2 linked regions of the Arabidopsis thaliana genome follow. The protein of the gene in region 2 interacts with the protein of the main gene of each other region in a biochemical or structural test. Each region holds a gene or a part of one and is shown on either strand. Other genes may lie near its edges.

What was found. The genes of interacting proteins can lie anywhere in the genome.
Region 1: the proteins of GBF4 (region 2) and GBF3 form a complex in vitro, tested with the Arabidopsis thaliana proteins (one study listed by BioGRID).

The regions. Positions count from the first base shown.
Region 1 is NC_003071.7:18,994,832-19,005,429, reverse strand, and holds GBF3 (G-box binding factor 3), read right to left. Parts: upstream 5,251-10,598; 5' UTR 5,003-5,250; intron 4,617-5,002; 5' UTR 4,572-4,616; coding exon 4,506-4,571; intron 4,419-4,505; coding exon 4,374-4,418; intron 4,292-4,373; coding exon 4,196-4,291; intron 4,103-4,195; coding exon 4,019-4,102; intron 3,932-4,018; coding exon 3,890-3,931; intron 3,806-3,889; coding exon 3,599-3,805; intron 3,511-3,598; coding exon 3,462-3,510; intron 3,376-3,461; coding exon 3,200-3,375; intron 3,109-3,199; coding exon 3,031-3,108; intron 2,920-3,030; coding exon 2,794-2,919; intron 2,709-2,793; coding exon 2,529-2,708; 3' UTR 2,027-2,528; downstream 1-2,026. Other genes in the region: TRIP-1 (TGF-beta receptor interacting protein 1), read left to right, coding at 37-220, 369-584, 680-813, 911-1,030, 1,141-1,230, 1,324-1,410, 1,511-1,590, 1,699-1,774; LRB1 (BTB/POZ/Kelch-associated protein), read right to left, coding at 6,967-7,798, 7,877-8,156, 8,384-8,447, 8,548-8,666, 8,804-8,938, 9,064-9,319. UniProt on the Arabidopsis thaliana protein: Binds to the G-box motif (5'-CCACGTGG-3') of the rbcS-1A gene promoter. G-box and G-box-like motifs are cis-acting elements defined in promoters of certain plant genes which are regulated by such diverse stimuli as light-induction or hormone control.
Region 2 is NC_003070.9:1,015,016-1,025,613, reverse strand, and holds GBF4 (G-box binding factor 4), read right to left. Parts: upstream 7,515-10,598; 5' UTR 7,378-7,514; coding exon 6,565-7,377; 3' UTR 6,367-6,564; downstream 1-6,366. Other genes in the region: AT1G03990 (Long-chain fatty alcohol dehydrogenase family protein), read right to left, coding at 46-321, 519-767; AT1G03982 (PAK-box/P21-Rho-binding family protein), read left to right, coding at 2,478-2,606, 2,702-2,783, 2,868-3,190; PCS2 (phytochelatin synthase 2), read left to right, coding at 3,743-3,814, 4,171-4,632, 4,796-4,959, 5,050-5,101, 5,200-5,427, 5,522-5,708, 5,835-6,010, 6,220-6,303; AT1G03960 (Calcium-binding EF hand family protein), read right to left, coding at 8,142-8,282, 8,431-8,556, 8,663-8,819, 9,165-9,274, 9,388-9,535, 9,789-9,930, 10,096-10,186, 10,310-10,415 and 1 more. UniProt on the Arabidopsis thaliana protein: Binds to the G-box motif (5'-CCACGTGG-3') of the rbcS-1A gene promoter. G-box and G-box-like motifs are cis-acting elements defined in promoters of certain plant genes which are regulated by such diverse stimuli as light-induction or hormone control.

The DNA.
Region 1 (10,598 bases), on a different chromosome or scaffold from region 2:
TTTCAAAGATTCGCATCAAACCCTAAGAAACTGAAGATGAGGCCGATCCTGATGAAGGGACATGAACGTCCATTGACGTTTCTGAGGTACAACAGAGAAGGAGATCTGCTTTTCTCCTGCGCCAAGGACCACACACCCACCCTCTGGTTTGCCGATAACGGCGAGCGCCTTGGAACTTACCGTGGTCACAACGGTGCTGTTTGGTGCTGTGATGTCTCCCGTAAGTTTCTCAATTTCTCTTCAAATAGTATCGAGTCGATGATTAGATTCATTGTTTCCCCTTAGCTACAAGCTTGTTTAGGGTTTATAGTATCGAGTGAATTCTGTCGTCTTAGTCTTTCAAAGCTGAATGTTTAGTGATTTCTTAGGAGACTCGTCAAGATTGATCACTGGTAGTGCTGATCAGACTGCAAAGCTGTGGGATGTAAAATCTGGAAAAGAATTGTTCACTTTCAAGTTTAATGCCCCTACGAGGTCTGTGGATTTCGCTGTTGGAGATCGTCTTGCAGTGATTACCACTGATCACTTCGTGGACCGTACCGCTGCTATTCATGTGAAGCGTATTGCGGAAGATCCTGAGGAACGTAAGTTGTACATTCCTAGCTGAATTACTACTTACGTTTTAGCCAACTTCTTGTATGTGTTAAAAGGAAATTGTTTGTTTGATGCAATTGTGTAGAGGATGCTGAGTCTGTGCTTGTCCTTCATTGTCCTGATGGAAAGAAGAGGATCAATAGAGCTGTTTGGGGTCCCCTGAACCAAACTATTGTTAGTGGTGGTGAAGATAAAGTTATCAGAATCTGGGATGCCGAGGTATTTCAATTTTTCTTAAGGCCTTACTTGTGTATTAATTTCTCTCTTTTAAGGTTATGAACTAAACCTTATGTGGTGCTACTGCCATTGTTACTAGACGGGAAAATTGCTCAAGCAATCAGATGAGGAAGTGGGTCACAAGAAGGACATTACATCGCTCTGCAAAGCAGCTGATGACTCTCACTTCCTTACAGGTTCACTTGACAAAACTGCAAAGGCATGTGCTTCTTTCTTTTACTTGTACAGTATATCTTGTTTCAAATTTTTGCACTATACATATAGATATAAATCATCTAATAGAGTGTTCTCTTTTGTTGATTGTTTCAGCTTTGGGACATGAGAACGCTGACTCTTCTTAAGACTTACACCACTGTGGTGCCCGTAAATGCTGTCTCCCTGTCTCCACTTCTCAACCATGTATGCACTAATGCTTCATGAAATTCAATTTCGAATCCCAGAATCAGCAAGGCATGATGTTATCTTTGTGAATGTTTCTGCTCTCTCTTTTAGGTTGTACTTGGAGGTGGTCAAGATGCATCAGCTGTGACTACCACTGATCATCGTGCTGGAAAGTTTGAAGCTAAGTTTTACGACAAGGTTAGTGTTTATAATAAGAGTGTTTTACTTGGAAACATGTAACCTGGAAAATACACATATTTAAATAACCGTGTATCATTGTGTTTGGTATAATATATAGATTCTGCAAGAGGAAATTGGTGGTGTGAAAGGTCATTTTGGACCTATAAATGCTTTGGCATTCAATCCTGATGGGAAGAGGTAAATTAACAACATTTGGATTTTGATTGATTGACACAATCCTCACATGATGAGGTTTTGAGTGTGTGTTTTGGCTCTCTCACTGAGTTTGTGGAATGTATATTTCAGTTTCTCTAGTGGAGGTGAAGACGGTTACGTGAGGCTGCATCATTTTGACTCCGACTACTTCAACATCAAGATTTAGATTCCGACTACTTGAACGTCAACCTTTTAGAATCTTTGAAAAAGTCTCCCATTCCGGATTTTGTTTTCTCTCTCTTTTAACATTTTCATGTTTTTATTTACTACCAATACAAATACCTTGATGATAAAGCTTTTGAATTTTGACAGAATCTTTAGTTTTCATTTCCAGAGTTCTCAGTACAAGTTAATTAACCTGCTCTATGTGTGAGCGAGCATTAATATTCAGCTTTTATAAAATAAACTCGGTTGTAGAAAAGAATGCCTTGTGTGATTGACAGTCCTCAAGAGTAGCGAAGAAAATCACCCAAAGACAGACTCATAATGTTTGTGATATTCGTGATGATTATTGGATCTATAAATTTTCGGAGAGAGATGTATGAAACCTGAAAAGAAAGATCCTTTATGCATGAAACCTTGACAAAAGAAACAAAAGCTTACGCAAAGCAATAACACCGATTTCATAAAATTACATCAGGTCTAAAACAAGGAAATGCAACAAAGGAAGCCATTTTATAAAAAAAGAAAAGCCTCTCTATATTAACAGTAACAAACCATAACACCAAATTTTCATCTGGAGGAAAAGTTTCTCTTTCTCCCTCTCTCTCTCCGAAAATTTATAGATCAATAATCATCACACCTCTCTCTCTCTCTCTCTCTCTACTATACTATCTATCAAGTTTTTCTGAAATTAGTAGCACTTATTTTCTTTGTTTATGTCGACAAATTAAGTAGAAATCGACATGAATTACCATCGATCAGCCTGCAGCTACTGCTTTAGCTCGAGGCTTCGTATCGAGCAGTTGATGCAATTTGCTTGTAGAGTTAGAATCATTGTCTCCTTGGTTCTTGTTCTTATCTCCAGCTCCTGAGTTCTTAACTCTAGACAACATATTTGCGGGGACTCTCTTTTCGGGTTCCGAGCATTTCAGTTTGTCCTGCAACCCAAAAAGAACCGGCCATGTTCAAGAAAATGACACGCCTTCATAAAGATAATTTGTTGGTTAATGATAGCTTACTTACCAACAAGGTTGCATTTGCTCCTCTTAGTTTATCAGATTTCTCATTAAGTTGGTTTAGTTCAGATCTTAATGCCATGTTTTCGGCTGTCAAGGCTTCCACTTTCCTAGCAAGTTCTTCTGTCTCGGCCTTCAAAACAAGGAAAGACAGTTTGTTAGTTTATTAAATGTTTTGGTGAGAGTTACACACTAAGAGAAAGAATTTCTAAAGAGCTTCAGTGTATTCTTTCAGTAACCAAACCTGTTTCCTTAATCTTGACCTTCTAGCAGATTCTCTATTAGACTGTTTCCTTCGCTCCCGTTTCAGTTCTCTCTCGTTCTGAAGACAAAATTTAATACTTGGTCAGGGAAACGGATCAGATTAGCTCGAAAATCCAACAAGTGGAAGTTGAGAATAAGTCACAGGGTACCTGAAGCCAAGTTTCAGGAGGAACCATGGCTAAAGATTGTGACATGAAGGGGTTGGAATTTGCACTTACACCAGGAGAGAGTATAGCTCCAGATCCTTGAATGAGTTTTACGCCGGTATCACCACTTGACGGAGAAACAGAATGAAATGAGCTAGCTTGAACCAATTGTTTCCCATCTGCCAAAAAAACCGAATTAAAACTCCCATTATATCTAATATTTACACTGATTCTAACTCTTTGGGACATGAATAAGGCTATATACCTTTTGTTGGAGTTCCCTCTCGACTTCTTTTAAGTTTCGGTTCATCTGCCTGGAAACATGCAATAAGTGAGGTTCTAGACTTTAGACAATCATATGAAAACTAAAGATAGCTGAGAGTAAGAGAAGAGAAACATTACCCCAGTTGTATTCCCATCACTTCCATCAGTAGAACCATCAGTTTCTGAGCTGTTCCGTGATCGTTTATGTTCATCTGCACCATTTTCAGGATTCCCATTTCCTAGAGACATAGCAAGCCCATCAAACTCTTTCAGCTTCTTCATCAATCCATTGTCTGTGTTCCCTGTAGATTTAGTAGGAGTGTCGATGCTCAAAAGCGTCCCCGGCTGCGATAAAGAAGAACTATCCATTAAACAGCGAACAAAACCATTTCTCAATCTTTGATGTATCAAACTAGGTATACAACTTACAGTTGTTAAAGGTGGATCCTTTTGACCTTGAGGCAGTGATCCCTGTCCACAGAAACTCAAAGCCAAGTCAGATAAACGATCACGGAGGATTCAACTACGAGATGTTTGAGGAACAGAATTACTATATACCATGGGAATACCGGGATGAGCGTAAACTCCTCCTCCATGAGGATAAACAGCAGCATAGGGTGCTCCATATGGTGACATCATATGCTGAAAGGGATTTAAGACCAACAAAACACCAATGAAACGTCTTCCTAATCTTTACCATATTAGCACAAGATGATTCGTGTTTGTGTTTAGTACCTGAGGATTCCACATGTAAGGAGGAGGAGGATGACCAGATGCAGCCATAGCTGAATTGTAATAAGGAGGCATTGCTACTCTTGGACCATAATATGCCTAGCAGCAACACATCATGAAAATCATTATTAATCATGGTATTACTAGTACATAACTGGAGCGTAATAAAAAAAAGACTAACCTGCATAGCTGCCCAATCAGGGTAGACATGAACATTTGTTTGATCCTATCAACAAGAGTCAAGTCAACGCATAAGGAATTTAAGAAAAACTAAATTGACTTTGGAATTATGGTTTGAAACTGTTCAACATACCACCGGGGGTGAAGATGGTTTATCTGATTTGGTAGGAGGCTTTGGTTCCTCGCTGCTATTTCCCATAGGAATGGTTTCAAGGTTTCCCACTCAAGAGAACAATGACTCTTTCTGCAAAATCATGGGGATGGGTGTTGTTGTGTGAGAAATATAGAGACAGAGAAGGGTAAAATAGTATTTCTCTCTCACATCCTATGTTCAGAAAACTTTCAGGAAGACAAAAGGAATCAACAAAGTAGACACTACTGGACAATTCTACCCCTGAAACAATCACATGCACCCAAAAAAAGAAACTCTGTTCTTCTCTACGCTTTAGCTGTTTTTGTTCAAATTCAAAACTTATAATTTTTCATTCAATTCAAGTAAATGCAAAAGCAAACGATCAAAAATGGCAAAATTTTCACAAAACTTAGAAGATCAATGAATGATAGAGAAACCAAATCACAAAACTATTCGACCAAACAATCTCTATTTGAACCATTTAAGTTACGCAATACCTACAAGAATCCGAAAGCTCCTTGAAGAAGAAACGTAAGCAGAAGATGAAGAAGAAGAAGCTTAAACAGAGAGAAACCCAGAAATTTAAATCGCGAATTCGAAACCTAAACAGCAATTAAACGCATTTTCATCTTTCTCTCTCTCTAAAAAAACCAGAGCGAAAAAGAGTTCAGTTTTTTTTTTTGAGGGAAGGGAGACGCGAGAGAGAGAGAAAAAAAACGGAGCGCCAAGACGATGACCACGTCATCAGACACGTGTCATGAGAATATATAACAGCGTAAACTACGGTGGTGTTTGATGAGTTGGCTCATCGAGTTTAGTGCCAGCCATTTCTTATGTCATCTCTACCGTACACGTGTTCGATTTCTAGTCGCTCTACGCTTCCCTCATGTTTAGATTATTTTTATAGTCGATATTTACCATAGTGTATAATCCTCTTCAAAATCCGTCATCACATTCACACGTCAGTGAAGTCATGTGCAACATAAAAATAAGAAAACTAAACAATCTTTCCAACGAATTTTCAGAATCATTATTTTTGTATGGCATGAAAATAAACACAATTTAACTTTTGCTACTTACCGATGGGCATATTTGTTTATTATATAGAATATTGCTTCGAATAATTTGGATACATGATAAAAATTTGATTAGAAAGAAGGGACATTATGGTAAAATACGAAGGAAGAAAAGACCTTTGACTAGTAGTATCTCCGACGCGGAGAGCACTTCTGTCGACAAAACTAAAGATCCGAACCGTCCATTATTCACTACCGATTCGTATCTTCCAAAGGTGCCACGAGACGACCCACGTGTATGGCCACGTTTTTGCCATCATGGAATCACCATAAAAGGAAAAATAAAAAATACTTTTTTAGTTTATTTTCTTTCATTATTATGAAAACAAAACAATAAAGAAAAGGCCCACAAGCCCGACAACTGCTTCGAATCCAACGGCTGGGATAAACAAATGATCCAACGGTATAAACTAAGCCACGCCAGTAGATAGTTATTGGCATTTAGAGGCTAAAGGGCCAACGAGGCTTTTTTTTTTTGCGTTGGCGTAAAAGAGCTTCTATCCACGAAGTGGTCCCTACATTACAAAATGCGACTCACATGGATGTATCTACGTGTCGGTTATCCATTGGGTGATGTAGTAAATATTGTCTGGGCTCTCTATTTTTGTTTATTTTTATTTTGTGTACTGTAGAAAGAAATCAGAGAGCATAATACTAGTACTAGTATTATTCAACTTAGGTTTTCGGTGACGTAAGCAAAGGTACAGACCACATCAGCTTTGAATATAGACCGTTGATCTCGGTTTCTCGATTAGAAAAAAATCGACGGTTAAGCTGCAATAAAAACGTGTGTTTTATATAACTTCGAATCATCTGACGTGGCCATCAATATTTTGTAGTGGAAAAAAAAAGTGGGGTCGATAAGTCAGAAAAGGAGATTAATCATCCAACGGCTCAAACGTGTCCCGACAAAATGACGTGTCCGTCTGGTAAGCGGATAGTCTTACTTACGCATTTATGTGGGCCCCATGTGACGAGGACTCAATTCCTCTATCCTCATTTCCTAAATTATCCTTGTCACTTCATTCTATTTCCTCGATGTACCATTGCTATAGCCGCATTGTTTGAACTTTGAATATAAAAGCCTAATGTTCACACTATAGGCAATTTAGCTTCATCATTACGCATCGTAGTAGGCCTTGAGCCCATATTTTAAGACTAACCTCAAAAGCTAGGCCCAAATTCTATCTTGGACTATTTATAAAGACCCATATAGAAAAGTAAAAAAATCCAATCAAAGAATTTACAGAATGAGGTACTCTTTAAGCCATACTTTTGCTCCTTAGGCAATTATTGTACAAAGGACACTCGTGGTTAGAGCTGCTACATAACGAGATTATACAACTTAAATGTGACGACATAGAGAGAGAGAGAGAAGAAAACAGTCAGTGCAGGTCTGAGGAACGTTTAATGGTGAGCTCGGCTCTGAGATGGAGAATGCCATTGATGAAATGTTGACTGTCCTCGGCTATGAACGAAGTCCATGGAATCCCGAAAAGGTTTCTGTAACCAACCGCTTTCCCCCCTGTGAATGTGTAGTTTCCTTTGTATTTGCTTACGTATTCTTCCTTTGTACTTTTATCTCTTGCCGCAAATTCGTAGTCCACACCAAAACTCACAGCCCCTTTCTCTTGCATTCCGAGGAATAGCCCAAAGCAGTGGAACGAGCTTTGCTGGTCCATGTTGCAGTGTGCTGAGAGGAAGAAACCTTGACCTCCTAAGTGGAAAGCCTGAGAATAGACTCTTCCTGAAGGGAATAGTCCTGCGCATTCCTCTCGCTTCAAGTCCAGGTACACTACACATTGCGGGCGAGGAAGCTCAAACTCCACCACTTTTACGGGTCTGTATTTGTAAGCCCTCTCTATGAAACGGCGGTTCATGGAGTCCGATCCTTCAGCTGCGAGGATGCGTTGCCTGTGTGGGGCTTCTGCTTTGAAGAAGAGCGCTTCTAATACTTGCTTTGATGCTACTTCATGCTCAAAATCACTGCACGTTAGTACCTTTTTCAGCTTTCGACACGTCATGTATGGGAAGCGGATGTAGAGTGCAAGGCGTGAACCCAGAATCTCTCTACGATCTTCCAATGAACTATACTGTCCCCTTGCCCATTTCAAGACAAAATCATAAACAGCATCCTCAGAAGCAATTTGGAGATCATCGCTCGATAGTATCGCCTCTATTCCAGCCAATGGTAAGGCCATAACCTCATCATGAAACCTGTACAAGATGGTAACACATGAACAAGAATTATACAACACTAGAGTAAATGCATTTCAAACCACTGGAGAGTCTTACTTGGTAATATCCTTGTAGCGCGAGGCAAGGAACTGCTTTGCTGCATCGGTTAGAGGTTGCACTGCTTCAGCCATTAAAACACTAGAGGGCAGCTCAAGATAGAGCAAAGCAGAATCAGGGGTCATGGGCATATTTCGCAGTAGTCTACTACAATACCTCATACAGGAAGCAACCTCAAACTTGTCAGCAGCCATAAGAACATCTAATAAAGCGGGTGCTGTTGTGACACTTAGAGAGTTGCTATACATAAAGTTTAAAAGCTCCATCAAAGCACCTTCCTCTACAATACACATAAAAGTAGAGCATGAGAAATCAACAATGTGGACTCCCTTAAAGCTAATATCGTATATCATATGTAAATCAAAGTCAGCAACTGAGTTAATACAAGAGGCATAAAGAATCCAAAACAAGAAGAAGCCAACAGAGAGCTAGTAGAGAATTGAAGCCAATATAAAGAGATTGGAGAATAGCAGAAATGAATTAAAAGCTTGACTTAAATTGTCGTACCTTGTGCACTAATTCTAAGGGTTACATGTCTTTGTTCTGATTCCCTCATTCCATTAGAAAACAGCTACAACAGGGTAAGGAAAACAAGAAGCAAAAGATAGCATTACATGCGAGATGAACAAGAGCAAACAATAAGAACATAGAAGAAGAAAAAAGGTTAATACCTTGTAGAAAAAGGGGCTTTTTGCGGCCAAGATAGGAGAACTAATATGCAGTTCTTTAACTCTAACAACAGTAGAACAATCAATACCCCAGTTTGGCTCACTAGATGCATCATCATCACCTACAAAAACCATTAATAAACAAAGCCATCACGTTTCAGACAAATGACTTCAACAAAAAACGCTCTTCTGAAAATTGTTAAGTATCACAAATTCAAACCCAGTCACTCGAGAGACAATGTGAAATTTAGAACGGTACCTGATAAAGCCTCTTCAACCATTGCCTCTCCTTCATCGTCAAGATTATCACCACCAGGAGCATCATCCATATCAGGTTGGTTGTTATCGGTTAAAATCTGTTCTTCAGCACATGCCACAATGTCTGAAATCGCAACTGGAAATGCAAAACGTATAAGTTTCTTAAACATTTAAACCCAAAAGCCCTAAACCAACCATAAGAACAATTCATAAAAACAACAACAAAATCTGAGATTCCAACCGATAGGGAATCAAACGTACCACCATTGTCCTTCTTGTTGTCCTCTCTTCTCCTCTTGCGATGACGAGCCCAATCGGCAATACTCGTACATCCTTCAGCATCAGACCTAGAATCCGAAGGCCCACCCAAGATCTCGATCCGGAGCAAACGATCGGAGAAGTTACTGTCATTGAAAGCGAAACCAAAATCACCTTCGGAGGAAGAACCATGGCGAGAGAAATTGGAATCCATCTCCGTCTTAGGGTCAAATAGATCGGTGTTATTGGAACCTCTCATCCTCCTTTTCGAAAACCCTCTTCTCCGTGTCTTCTCTCCGGCGAGAACCGAGCAGAAGAATCAGGATAACAATAAGGGTCAAATTCGAAAAGGTTTTTTTGAGGAACGAAAATGACAAAGAAACACTAAAAAAGTCTTTCTCTGTTTTTTTTTTCTGAAACAAAGAGCGGGTCGACGTTGAACGGTTATGGTAACAGGGCGGTGACGGATAAAGGCTAATTAAAGACAAAGAGGTTCGTTAATGCCAGCCTAACTAATTGTTTAACCGGTTTGGTCTTTTGATTGTAATAAGCACTTTGGTTCTTTTTCCGGTATTTTGCATAAATCGCGTAGGTACGATTTTGATTTTGACTTATCGGATTCGATTTTTAGTATTTGGGGGAAATTTAGCATTTACTTAATTAGAGGAGGAAAAAGGTAATAGGCAAAATTAGGAGTGTATTTAGTTGGAAAGCGTCAAATTTGGTAAGAAGACAACTCGTTCAACAAACGGCAATGCCTTTTATGTCGTTAAATATTCGTTGGAATCAAAGTCTAATTTGGAGTTTTCTTTTAATAAAATACAATTACTTCAACGTTTTACAGACTTTGTTAATTAGATTTTGACCGAGTGAAACTTGGCTATGCAATGATAACTTGACAAAAAAAAAAGGACTAATTTATAAATTGAAATCCGGCCGGTATACATTTCTTCGTAGGCCAACACATGACAAACCAGTTGACTATGTTGTGTACTACTAGGGATCATTTGAGATGATACGACTTAACGTATCGACTACAAGCAACCCAGCTGCTATTATTTCTTGAAACCATCGATGGTATATTTTCTCAAACCAAAACAATTATAGTGTACTTGTTTCGATCTGATCGAAGTTAAACCTAACTTTATTATTGTTCTTGTTTTAACTAAAAACGTATCCAAGACCAGTTTTGATGAATATATTTTTTTCTTTTTTTAGGTGAAATGTCCCCTTCGTATTTACGACAAACACACGACTAATGTTAAAATTAAAACAAGGAACAAGAAATATTTATACATTTGTCAGTTTTAATCTGTATTTCCATTAATATCATATTTTCAAATTGGCACACGAACGTCTTCTCGTAAATAAACAACATTAATATTGCTTCCATGCAAGCATCAACCACAAACACCTGCAAATAAACATGACAACCTGAAAAAAAAAATGCACTAGAGAAAAAGAAAACAAGTTAGATCGAAACCAAGTTTTGAAGAACAGAGACTAATTAAGAGAAGAAGAAAAGGAGCTCCCTTCAA
Region 2 (10,598 bases):
ACGAAAGCGAATGACCTGTTATGCAGAGGAAGATGGAAGACTTACCCATGTGAAGTAGTAGAACAAGAAGATGGCTTTGATCATCATAAAGCCGATTCTCGCTAGTGGGTTATACCACTGTGTGTTCCATCTCTGAAGAACCTTTTCCCTCTTCTCCAGGGACATTTCAGAGAACTTGAGAAGAAAAGGCCAATGCTTCTTGTCAAGACAGACTAACCCGCAAAGCAGTAACGTCCCCAGTCTGAATGTGAGTATTCTCAAAACTATTCTCACCACTAAAACTGTCAATGGTATTGCCTTGGTCGCCAGTAGCTCTGCCACCTGATTTTTTAATCAATTTATTATCATTCCAATTGCACGTAAGCACTAATAAATTGTGCACTGAAGATAACGTAGAGTAAAATCTAAATTTTCATCACTCTATATACCTTAGGGTTCATTAAAGATTATGCTATTATTAATTATATTCATAATAGTGTCTTTTACTGAGATGATAGAGAAAGTTGGAGATAAACAACCTCATCTGGTCGAACATGAGACTCAGAAGAAGAAGACTTGAAGAAAGATAAGAGTGCATCGTTGCGCAAAACCTTCAACTTCATCTCAAGATTTAAGCTCTCTAATGGAACAGGAGGCATAATAGCGTCGCAAATGGAAGAGAGAGCTTGGAGGTCAGATTTTGAGAATCCATGGCTGAAGCTTTCTTGTTTCACACTCCATCTCAACAAAGGGCTTCCTCTCTTCCCTAATCTTCTTCCTCCTACCATCTCTCTCAGCTTTTAGGTCCTTTCTCTCTTTCTTAATTCCTCTTTACGCTTAGTTCTTTTTTACACAAACATATATATAGACATGCGAAGAGCTTCTAGGGTTTGAGCATTTTTCTTTTCGATTTTCTCTGCAAAACTTGTTGTGGGAAAGTGTAAGGCGGTTCCTTAAGTGTTGGGTAATCAGAAAGAAGGACTAAAACAAACTTGAAAGAGATTGTTTCTTTTTTGAGTTTTGAGATGATTATGTTTGTTTGTTTGCGTCTGGAAAAAGAGACCACAGATTACGTATCACGTGTGATGTATACGAATACGTATATGTGTCTTGAGTCAGGTGTGGGATACATCAGGAGTACACGTGACAAACGCAGCATCGTACTGTTGTATTACAATATGTTACATGTGTATATTTTCGACATCACCGATAAAATAAAGCTCTCAGATATTCCACCACCAACATATAAAGTCTCTCTCTCTATATATATAAATCATTTGTTTTTAGCTGTATATAATATAATTATGACAGCCTTTTCTTTTTCAGGTGTCAATAATTGTTTTTTTTCTGGTATGTGTAGCAGCCATGTAGAAATAACAACATTTCTGTGAAATCAGATAATATACATAGTCTTCAATTACATATTTCAATCGTTTTTTCCAGCTATATACATCATCCTCAAAATTTTATTAATAGTTATAGTACGTTTGTGAATATACTACTTATGTGTGTAACACAGTTTTACTAGCGTCACAGGTTTTTTTTTTTTTTGAGATGCCAGCAAGAGTATCTATCTCCCGATGGAGATGCTCTAATGGTTATTGCCTACGGTTCATGGTTCTTGGGCCTCTTGGGCTCTCTTGCTGGCGAATCTTGGGCTTCTCCCTCTGTTTGGGCATGTTTCCCCTTTATGGGTTTTGGCCTTCTTTGTTTTGTTTTATCTTATCATTCTGTATGGGTCTGGCCCAATATGTTGTTTCCATCTTATCCTCCTAAAAAGTCAATAAACATGAAAACCCTTTGACAAAAAAATTAGTGGCCAATAATTGATTTGTTTTTACTAACAACTGCTGATTTTCTTTACAGTTTTACCACATTAAGATTGCAATAGAGAACAAACAATAAAATTAGCCTCATCGATTTTTTTAAAAAAATCTACTTTAAACTAATTGTCGTTCACTTAATTAGTTTTTTGTTTTCCCTCCATCACATTGTTAATTAGTTCCATATCTGGAACTGGAAACAGAAAACTTGATATATTAGCTCTCCATGCACAATCTCCTTTTCCTATTTCTTTTTGTTCATAACTGAGTATTTTGATTCAACCTTTTTTCTTTTTCCTGGAGAAAGAAAATTTTAGGTCGTAGAATGTTAAATCAAAATGCTTTCAAAGAAATCACTGACAATGGCTCTTAATCGATCGAGCCGAAATGAAACTTACGTGATTTCTTTTCAGTTCTGAATTCATTTCATTCTTATAGCTTCCAGGAGAAAAACAAAATTAGTAAACACAGAATAGATTATTTTTTTTTCTCTTAGAAACTATATTGATTTGTTTGGCTATTTCATTATGTCAACCTACAAAATGAAGAGCCTCGTGAAGGGTCTTAGGTATTTTTCTCAAATATTTGGTGAGTTTTATATATATATACTATATACTATCTTCTCTGAATGTAGCCTAATAATTTTGTAAATTTCTCGTTTTAATATTACATTTTATGATCAATTTGCATAACGCAGAAAACGAGAAAGAGGCAGAGATGCAAATTGGAACTCCAACAGATGTAAAACATGTTGCTCACATTGGTTGGGATGGAGGCTCTGTCAATCATAATCCACCCAGCTGGGTATTTAATTTAATTTTCAATAATTTTTTGGTCTATAGTATAACATTAACTAATAAATCATTATCATAAAGTCAAAATAATGAAATTCAATGTAGATGAAAGATTTCAAAGTATTGGGTGGATATTCACCGGCGCTTATCGGAAATATCAAGGAGGATGCTTCATGCATTTTTGAAGGTGAGCTATCTAATATGGAATAGTACTATAGATATTTTTTTTTGTAAAAGAAGAAATAATTATAAATAAAAAATGCACATGCAGATTCGACTCGGTCACGTGATATACCGAGACTTCCAAAATCGTCGAGAGAGCGTTCGAGCACTTTAGGTGGTTCACCAACAAAAGAACGATCACGACGACGTGGATCTTCACAATATAATGGAAACCCTAAAGTTTCACGGAGATCATCAAAAGAATCTTCTGCTATTCCTCAAGATGGTGGTTTTAATAAGAAATCTCGTAGAAAAAAATCAAAGGACTGTGTAGATGGTGGATCTAGAAGATCGTCACGACGAGTACGTGGATCTCAAGTAGAATCTATAAGTGATTCTTCATCAACGTCTGATGCAGGATATCTAACTTAAGACGATAAAAATTTGCATCAAAATAAATAACATAGGTTACTAGGGAAATTCAATTAAGCTAGCTACAGTGCTGGTTCTTGTGAGGATTTGTTACCTATTTTATTTGATTAGTTTAAAACCAACGTGCCTTCATGGCTTCAGAATAAAATAAAATAAACAATTTCCCCAGTTGCAATAAAGAAAAAACAGTAGGTGAGTCTTAGTCAAGGTCAATTAGTTTTCAAATCAATAATTATTTTCCAAACCGATCCAAACCGGCTAAATAACCATCAGTCTCCGCGGTTTAAGATTTGACTTTACCAATCTTCTCTTCTGTCTCTCTCACACAACTCAGTCCCTCTTCGACGTTTTATTGAATCCGCATTTTGAAGTAAATGAAAGACTTCTCTGCGAACGTTACTCTTCTTCATATGTGAAGCATTGCTCCATTTTTTAGGTAGTTCATAGAGAGAGAGAGAGAGAGAGAGAGAGAGAGAGCTCTTCTTTTACATTGTTTTCGAACCCGTCCCTGATTCTTTCGGCGCAAGTTTGCTCCATAGTCAAACTCTGACAATGTCTATGGCGAGTTTGTATCGGCGGTCTCTTTCCCCTCCGGCGATAGATTTCGCTTCTTTTGAAGGAAAGGTGCGTTATTTCTCAAGTGTTCGATCCATGGATTCAATTGAAAATTCAGGGTTCTGGGTTTTAACTTTTTAAGTATCCTTGTGCTTCTGGTTAGAGATGATCACTGATTTGGTTTTTGTATGTTGATTGATTTGGTTACTTCTCTATCTGTATAGAGTCTAGAAATTGGATTTTCTTGGGAACTGTGTAAAACTCGTAAAACCCTAAACCCCTTGCTGTTTTTACAAGTTTAGTTGTTGGTGAGAGATCTGAGCATGCTTCATGATAAATGGTTCACGAATTATTGATAGCCAATTTAGTAGAATGGGACAAGTTCTTTTGCCCTGAGAATTTAAATGTTGTCATTGTCTTTGCAGCAAATCTTCAATGAAGCGCTTCAGAAAGGCACTATGGAAGGATTTTTCGGGCTGATTTCTTATTTTCAGACACAGTCTGAGCCAGCTTTTTGTGGCTTAGCTAGTCTTTCGATGGTTTTGAATTCTCTTTCTATTGACCCGGGAAGAAAGTGGAAAGGTATACATACCTCTACTGGAGAGTACATTTGTTGGTGGGTTTTTGAATTTTTTTGGTTTCTCTCAGGGCCTTGGAGGTGGTTTGATGAATCAATGCTGGAATGTTGCGAGCCGCTTGAAATAGTGAAGGATAAAGGCATTTCATTTGGAAAAGTGGTCTGTTTAGCTCATTCTTCAGGAGCAAAAGTCGAAGCTTTCCGCACAAATCAGAGCACCATTGATGATTTCCGCAAATATGTGGTCAAATGTTCAACTTCTGATAATTGTCATATGATCTCAACATATCATAGGCAAGTACTCAAGCAGGTATCATTTTTTTGGCCTAAACTCTGTGTATATTAACAGTTATATGGCAATTAAGTGAAATTCATTAGACTTAATGTTATTACAAAGTTTGATAATGGTGAAACTCTTTCATGTCTTGCTATGAAGTCCCATGCTGATCGGATTCTAATGTCTATGATTGCAGACTGGAACTGGCCACTTTTCACCTATTGGTGGTTATAATGCTGAAAGAGATATGGCTTTGATTCTTGATGTCGCTCGTTTCAAGTATCCTCCTCACTGGGTTCCTCTTAAACTTCTTTGGGATGCCATGGATAGTATTGATCAGTCAACAGGGAGACGTAGAGGGTACATGGATCTCTATTCTTTTTCTTAGGCTTCACTTGTATGATTAAAGAATGTAATCCGTTTCTTTTTGCTATTCTGCTTTACTTCCAGGTTCATGCTTATATCAAGACCCCACAGAGAACCAGGATTGCTCTATACATTAGTAAGTCCAAAGTCATGGTTCTATTAGTAGTTGCTGCTATTACAATAACATTTCTTTCGAATAGGACTGAGTAATGATATCTTGATTATCGATTTCAGAGTTGTAAGGATGAGAGCTGGATCAGCATTGCAAAGTATTTGAAGGAAGATGTTCCTCGTCTTGTAAGCTCACAACATGTTGATACTATTGAAAGAATCTTATATGTTGTATTCAAGTCACTTCCAGCAAATTTCAACCAATTTATCAAATGGATGGCTGAGATTCGAAGAACAGAGGATGTAAATCAAAATCTTAGCTCAGAAGAGAAATCAAGGCTCAAATTAAAGGTATTATCTTGTCCATTTGCTTCTGAACTTTAGTTTTCCATGTTTATATTCCATCAGTTTATTCATCACTGTTCTATGGTTCGTTTTGCTGTAGCAAGAGTTACTGAAACAAGTGCAAGAAACTAAACTGTTCAAGCATGTGGATAAGTTTCTCTCCTCTGTGTACGAAGACAATCTGCCATATGTTGCTGCTAAGGTTTATTGTGACGGAGATGAAATCTTATCGGGATATGAATCAGATGAATCCTGTTGTAAGGAAACTTGTGTCAAATGTATCAAAGGTATGTTTGTTCTTACATTCTGGTTATCTTTCTAAGCGCTTCAGAAACCTTGGCTTGAAGTTAGTAGTGTGCAAAGTTCTAATCAAGAAATCACTTTTTTCTTTGAATTTCTTGTTTTACATCAAGGTCTTGGTGAGGAGAAAGTGACAGTGGTAGCTTACCCATCCGGGAACGATGTGTTCACTGCTCTTCTGTTGGCTTTACCTCCACAGACGTGGTCAGGTATCAAAGACCAGTCACTTTTGCAAGAAATGAAACAGCTCATTTCCATGGTTAGCCACCCGACTTTGCTTCAACAAGAGGTACATAACTAAGCCAACTCTTCACTTGGAGTCTGAGTTATATATCTTCTAATTCTTAGGATAAGAAACAGAAATGAAACTCAGTTATATAGTCTGAGGATTACCTTCTGAAGCTGACTCTTTTTTAAGGCTGAACTCCAGAATCCATTAGATGAGAAATATGTAGTAAAGTCAGCTAAGTTAAATCGTTTTCCTTTGGTGGGTTACAGGTTTTGCATCTACGACGCCAACTTGAGATGCTAAAACGATGCCAGGAGAATAAAGAAGACGAAGAACTCTCTGCTCCTGCCTAATCAAACACAACCAACCACTTTCTAATTTGAATCGACCAACAAAATTGTTAGGGAGAAAAAGAATTTATCCCATCTAGTCTGGTCCATAGATATCTTATAAATCAGCAAAAAGCTATGTATTATCCATTACATCCCTTAGATACATTACAGGTAACTAAGTACTAACCATATCACCATCACTTTACTATATAGATTATAATATAGTAATCAAGCCCATATGTTTTTATTTTTTTTACATACAAAAGTTTTTTTTACCACACTTCACCATTCCAAGGAATGGCTCCTGCTTAAGGGCCTCGACGGTGGCCTTGGTTTCTCATCGACCGGAATCAGAACCTCCATGAGCTTCTTGTATCTCTCTTTAGTGCTCTCTTCAATCTCCTTCAAAAGCTGCTCATTCTCCTCCTCTAACTTGGCAGCCAAAGTCTCTAACTCAACCTGATAAGCCTGTTTCCTCTCTCGAGACCTAGCAGCGGATTCACGGTTCTTGATCATCCTCTTCTGTCTCTGAGCTGCAGCTTTATCCATTGCCTCCATCATCACTCTCCCTCTCTTTCCTCTCGTTACTCCTCCACCCATTGATCCTTCAACCATCTGGAACGAACTGTGTCGCTGCATCGGAAAATCAAATGTATAGCTACCGTCGTTGTTGAGTCTCTCCGTTGGAATCTTCACATCGATTTCATCTGAAGCTCCCTCGTCCATTTCTGCTTTCGCTAAGAAATCCTCAAGTGTCATTATATCTTCTGGTTCTTCTTCCTTCATCATGATCGTCTTTTGCTCTCCAGATACAATCTCTTTCCAAACATCGTCAACACTCTTTCCGTTGTTAACGCTGTTCCGATCTCCGATACTCCGATCAACATCAATCGCCATCTCGAAGGGCTTTGAATCAGACGCGAAAGTGTAATCGTTGACTCCTCCGCCGTAAGCGAAACTGATTCTGGAGTGATCGGCGTGAGGATTTGGTCGGAGATGGTGCGATGATCTTATAGAAGGGGAAGATGAAGCAGAAGAAGAATTACGGCGAGACAAGTCGGAATTGGAAGAAGACATCAACTTGAAGGACGCCATTTCCGGAGCTCACTGGAATTGGAACGAATTTTTATCTATCTGGGTTTTGTCAAAGAGAAAGAACAATCGGAAATGGTGGATTTTCTTCGAACCAGAGATCGAGAGAGATCTTTCTAGGGTTATCTCTAGTGTTTTGCAATGTAACCACGCGCTTACTCTCTATATACAAGTTTAATTAACTAATCACGCGCACATTAAACGCGTGACTTGCACCTTCTATCAACTATACTATAAGGAGATGTTTTTTCTTTTCTTTTTAATTAAGAAAAAAGATTTACTATTCAGATTTCTTTCTCTTTTTTTTTTTATGAAAAAGATATCAGTGCAACTAAAGAGATTTACAATTCAGATTTCTTTCTGAAAATATATTCGTGTGACAGTAAAGACTAAAAGAGTTTAACAATTCAGATTTATGAGTACATTCTGAGTTGGACAATCCAACTGGTTATATGGACACTAGATGATGTAGAGGGAGAGAGGGCCCAACTTGATATAATCTTTATAATGAAACCAAAACAAAATTGCAAAAATTTCATGAATTTGGCTGAGACTCTTTTGGAAATGATGATGAAAGCGTCTGGTAACAACCAACAGTGACCTCCAATCTCTGATCATGGATCTCTCTCCAGGGAAAACCTCAAATCATAAGTCTCCTTATTTGGTTGGTTTCTGTAGTCAAGATCGGCTTTCGACTCAATAAATCACAGAATTTTATAAGCATTTGCATTTCCTATACACAAGCAGTGTGAACTTACCACTATGGACTAAAATGGAGGTTCGAGTGGTTCATCCCAGACATCTGCACTCCCATTTGAGACTTCATCTACATCTTCCTCCATTGACAATCTCGCATACTCTCTCTGAGCAAATCGATCCCACTCTGTCAAATTTGGATCTTCCCGTTCCTACAGCAATGAAAGAGAATTATACTTGTTCTAATTGCCTCAATCCGAACTACTACAAACTGCCTTTAGCAGTTAAAAGAAGTCATATTCTTTGTTATTTTTTTCCCTCTTGAGTGCTATAAAAACTCCACTGGTAAGCCAAACTTACCTGGCGAATGAGAAATGGGTCACGTGTTTCAAATGCCATGAACTTATTAAGGTTGAAGAGTATATTGAAAACGTTTGCTGAAAGTTTCGATCCTTTCAGATCCTGGAGGGTGATACAGTTCTCCTTCTGCAAGGACATCCACCATATAGATGATTCCAGTCAAATAAATGATAAATAACAAAAAAGCTCGGAAAAATCAAACAACCATGTTCTGGTTTGTAAAGTAACTAACCTCGGGTCCAATCATGTCAATTATTTGACATAGGATATCACTGAAAAGAACAGCTTCCTGGGTTATGCATTCCATGCGATGCAGCTGCTCTTCGAAGAAAAACTGCATTTCGTTTGAAGTGATTACCCCATTTCCATCCAAGTCTACGCATTTGAACCTGCACGGAAAATTTCAATCAGTGTCAAGTAAAATACACGGACTTGCAAAAATATTGAGTTTTGACATCCATAATAGATAGATGAGCATACTAGGCTATAAACTAGTATCAGATTGTTAGATTGTTAGTGCCCGAGTATAAACAAGGATCCTATGTTCATGAAAAAATGGTACCATACAATGATTACTAAATATATCTGAGGAAGAGGACTTGTTACAAGTAACAAGTCCTCAAGTCACTGGTTTTGACTCCGTTGTAGTATATATATCAAGATCTTGTGATCTAAACCAAGGGGCAACATTCATTAAGGAAAACCAATATCAACACGGAGGGGGAGATGTGTACCAATACTCAAGACTAGGCTCGGAAGACTTGTCTTCCTCAGCGAGAATGAAGTACACAAAATCTTCATAACTCATCTTCCCTTCAACTTTACTCGTAAACTTCCTTGGAATCTAAAAGAGAAACATAGCCACAAGACGCATGGAGATCAAATAAAAAGGATCACATCATACTATATAACTTAGCTTTTAAGAAGGTCTAGGCAGGAACAATTTTGGGAACCAACCTGTGAAAATATTCTATCAACAATCCTGTAGGTAAGGGCATTATTACCATATTTGATGAGATTGTCCTTATCAATAAAACAATCATGGTCACCATCAAGTTCCCAAAATTTGCAGTATATCACGTAGAAGTGCTCATAGGAGAAGTACCTGAAAATTAAAAGAAACGACATGATTGCAAATGGTAAAATCAGGCATAAGTTCTGTTACAGAAGCAATATGAAGGTATAAGCCAATACTCATATAGCTCTTCCATTTTGAACTGTTTAATGTTACATATGTGATAAACCCTCGAACTTTAATATATTTTCGTAAGCTTGTTTACTCCTTATATAACAACAGAATATGTTTGAATTTCAAATACTTATTGTTAGGAAATTATGAAAAGAAAAAATAAACTCACCTAATAATTTTATTAATGTCGTCCTCTTCATCAAGTTGTTGCATAGCAGCAATTAAATTTCCACGTCTCAGCTCTCTAAGAGTAAGGCAGCCAGTTCCGGATCTGTTAATGTAGTAAAATATTCTGTAGATGACCGTTTCAGCTGGGTAATCAACAAAGGATTAAAATTAGTACAAGTATGAATCTAACATAAGTACATATCTAGTAGAGATATAAAGATGTATGCACAGAAAGAACGTCTTATTGAGTAGGTTTCATCATTTTTAACACCATGACAATCAGTAAGTCACAAATCAATGGTTCCTACCATATCTTTCTTGAAACTCGCTTATCGTCCTCAAAAATTCTAATCCAGGATGTGTTGCCAGAAGCTCATCAAGAACTGGTTTGAAGTCTGCCTGTAGCCAAATCCAAGAAATGATCAAAATGTATGGCACAATGGGTTAAGAAAAGGAAGACAATTGTTGGAAAATAAATCAGAACGCGGTTGGAGAAAAGCGGGAGAAGAATCACAAAAAGACCTGTCTGAGATAGCTGCAGCCCTGCTGCCTTAGTATATTATATATCTGGGAGGCTGTGTCCATAGTTAACATATTGCCATCAATCCAATACTTGATAAATGCATCCCTGAGGACAATTGGTCAATCAGCAAACATTAGTACCGCACCAATTACCCAACAAAGCTTTATAAGAAAATAGAGCAAGCACCCAAAGTTCTCATACTACTTTTAAAAAACATTTTATAAAAGAATAAATGAGTCATATATGGAGCTACCTTGTAACTATATCAGTGCAATTGGGATCGATCTT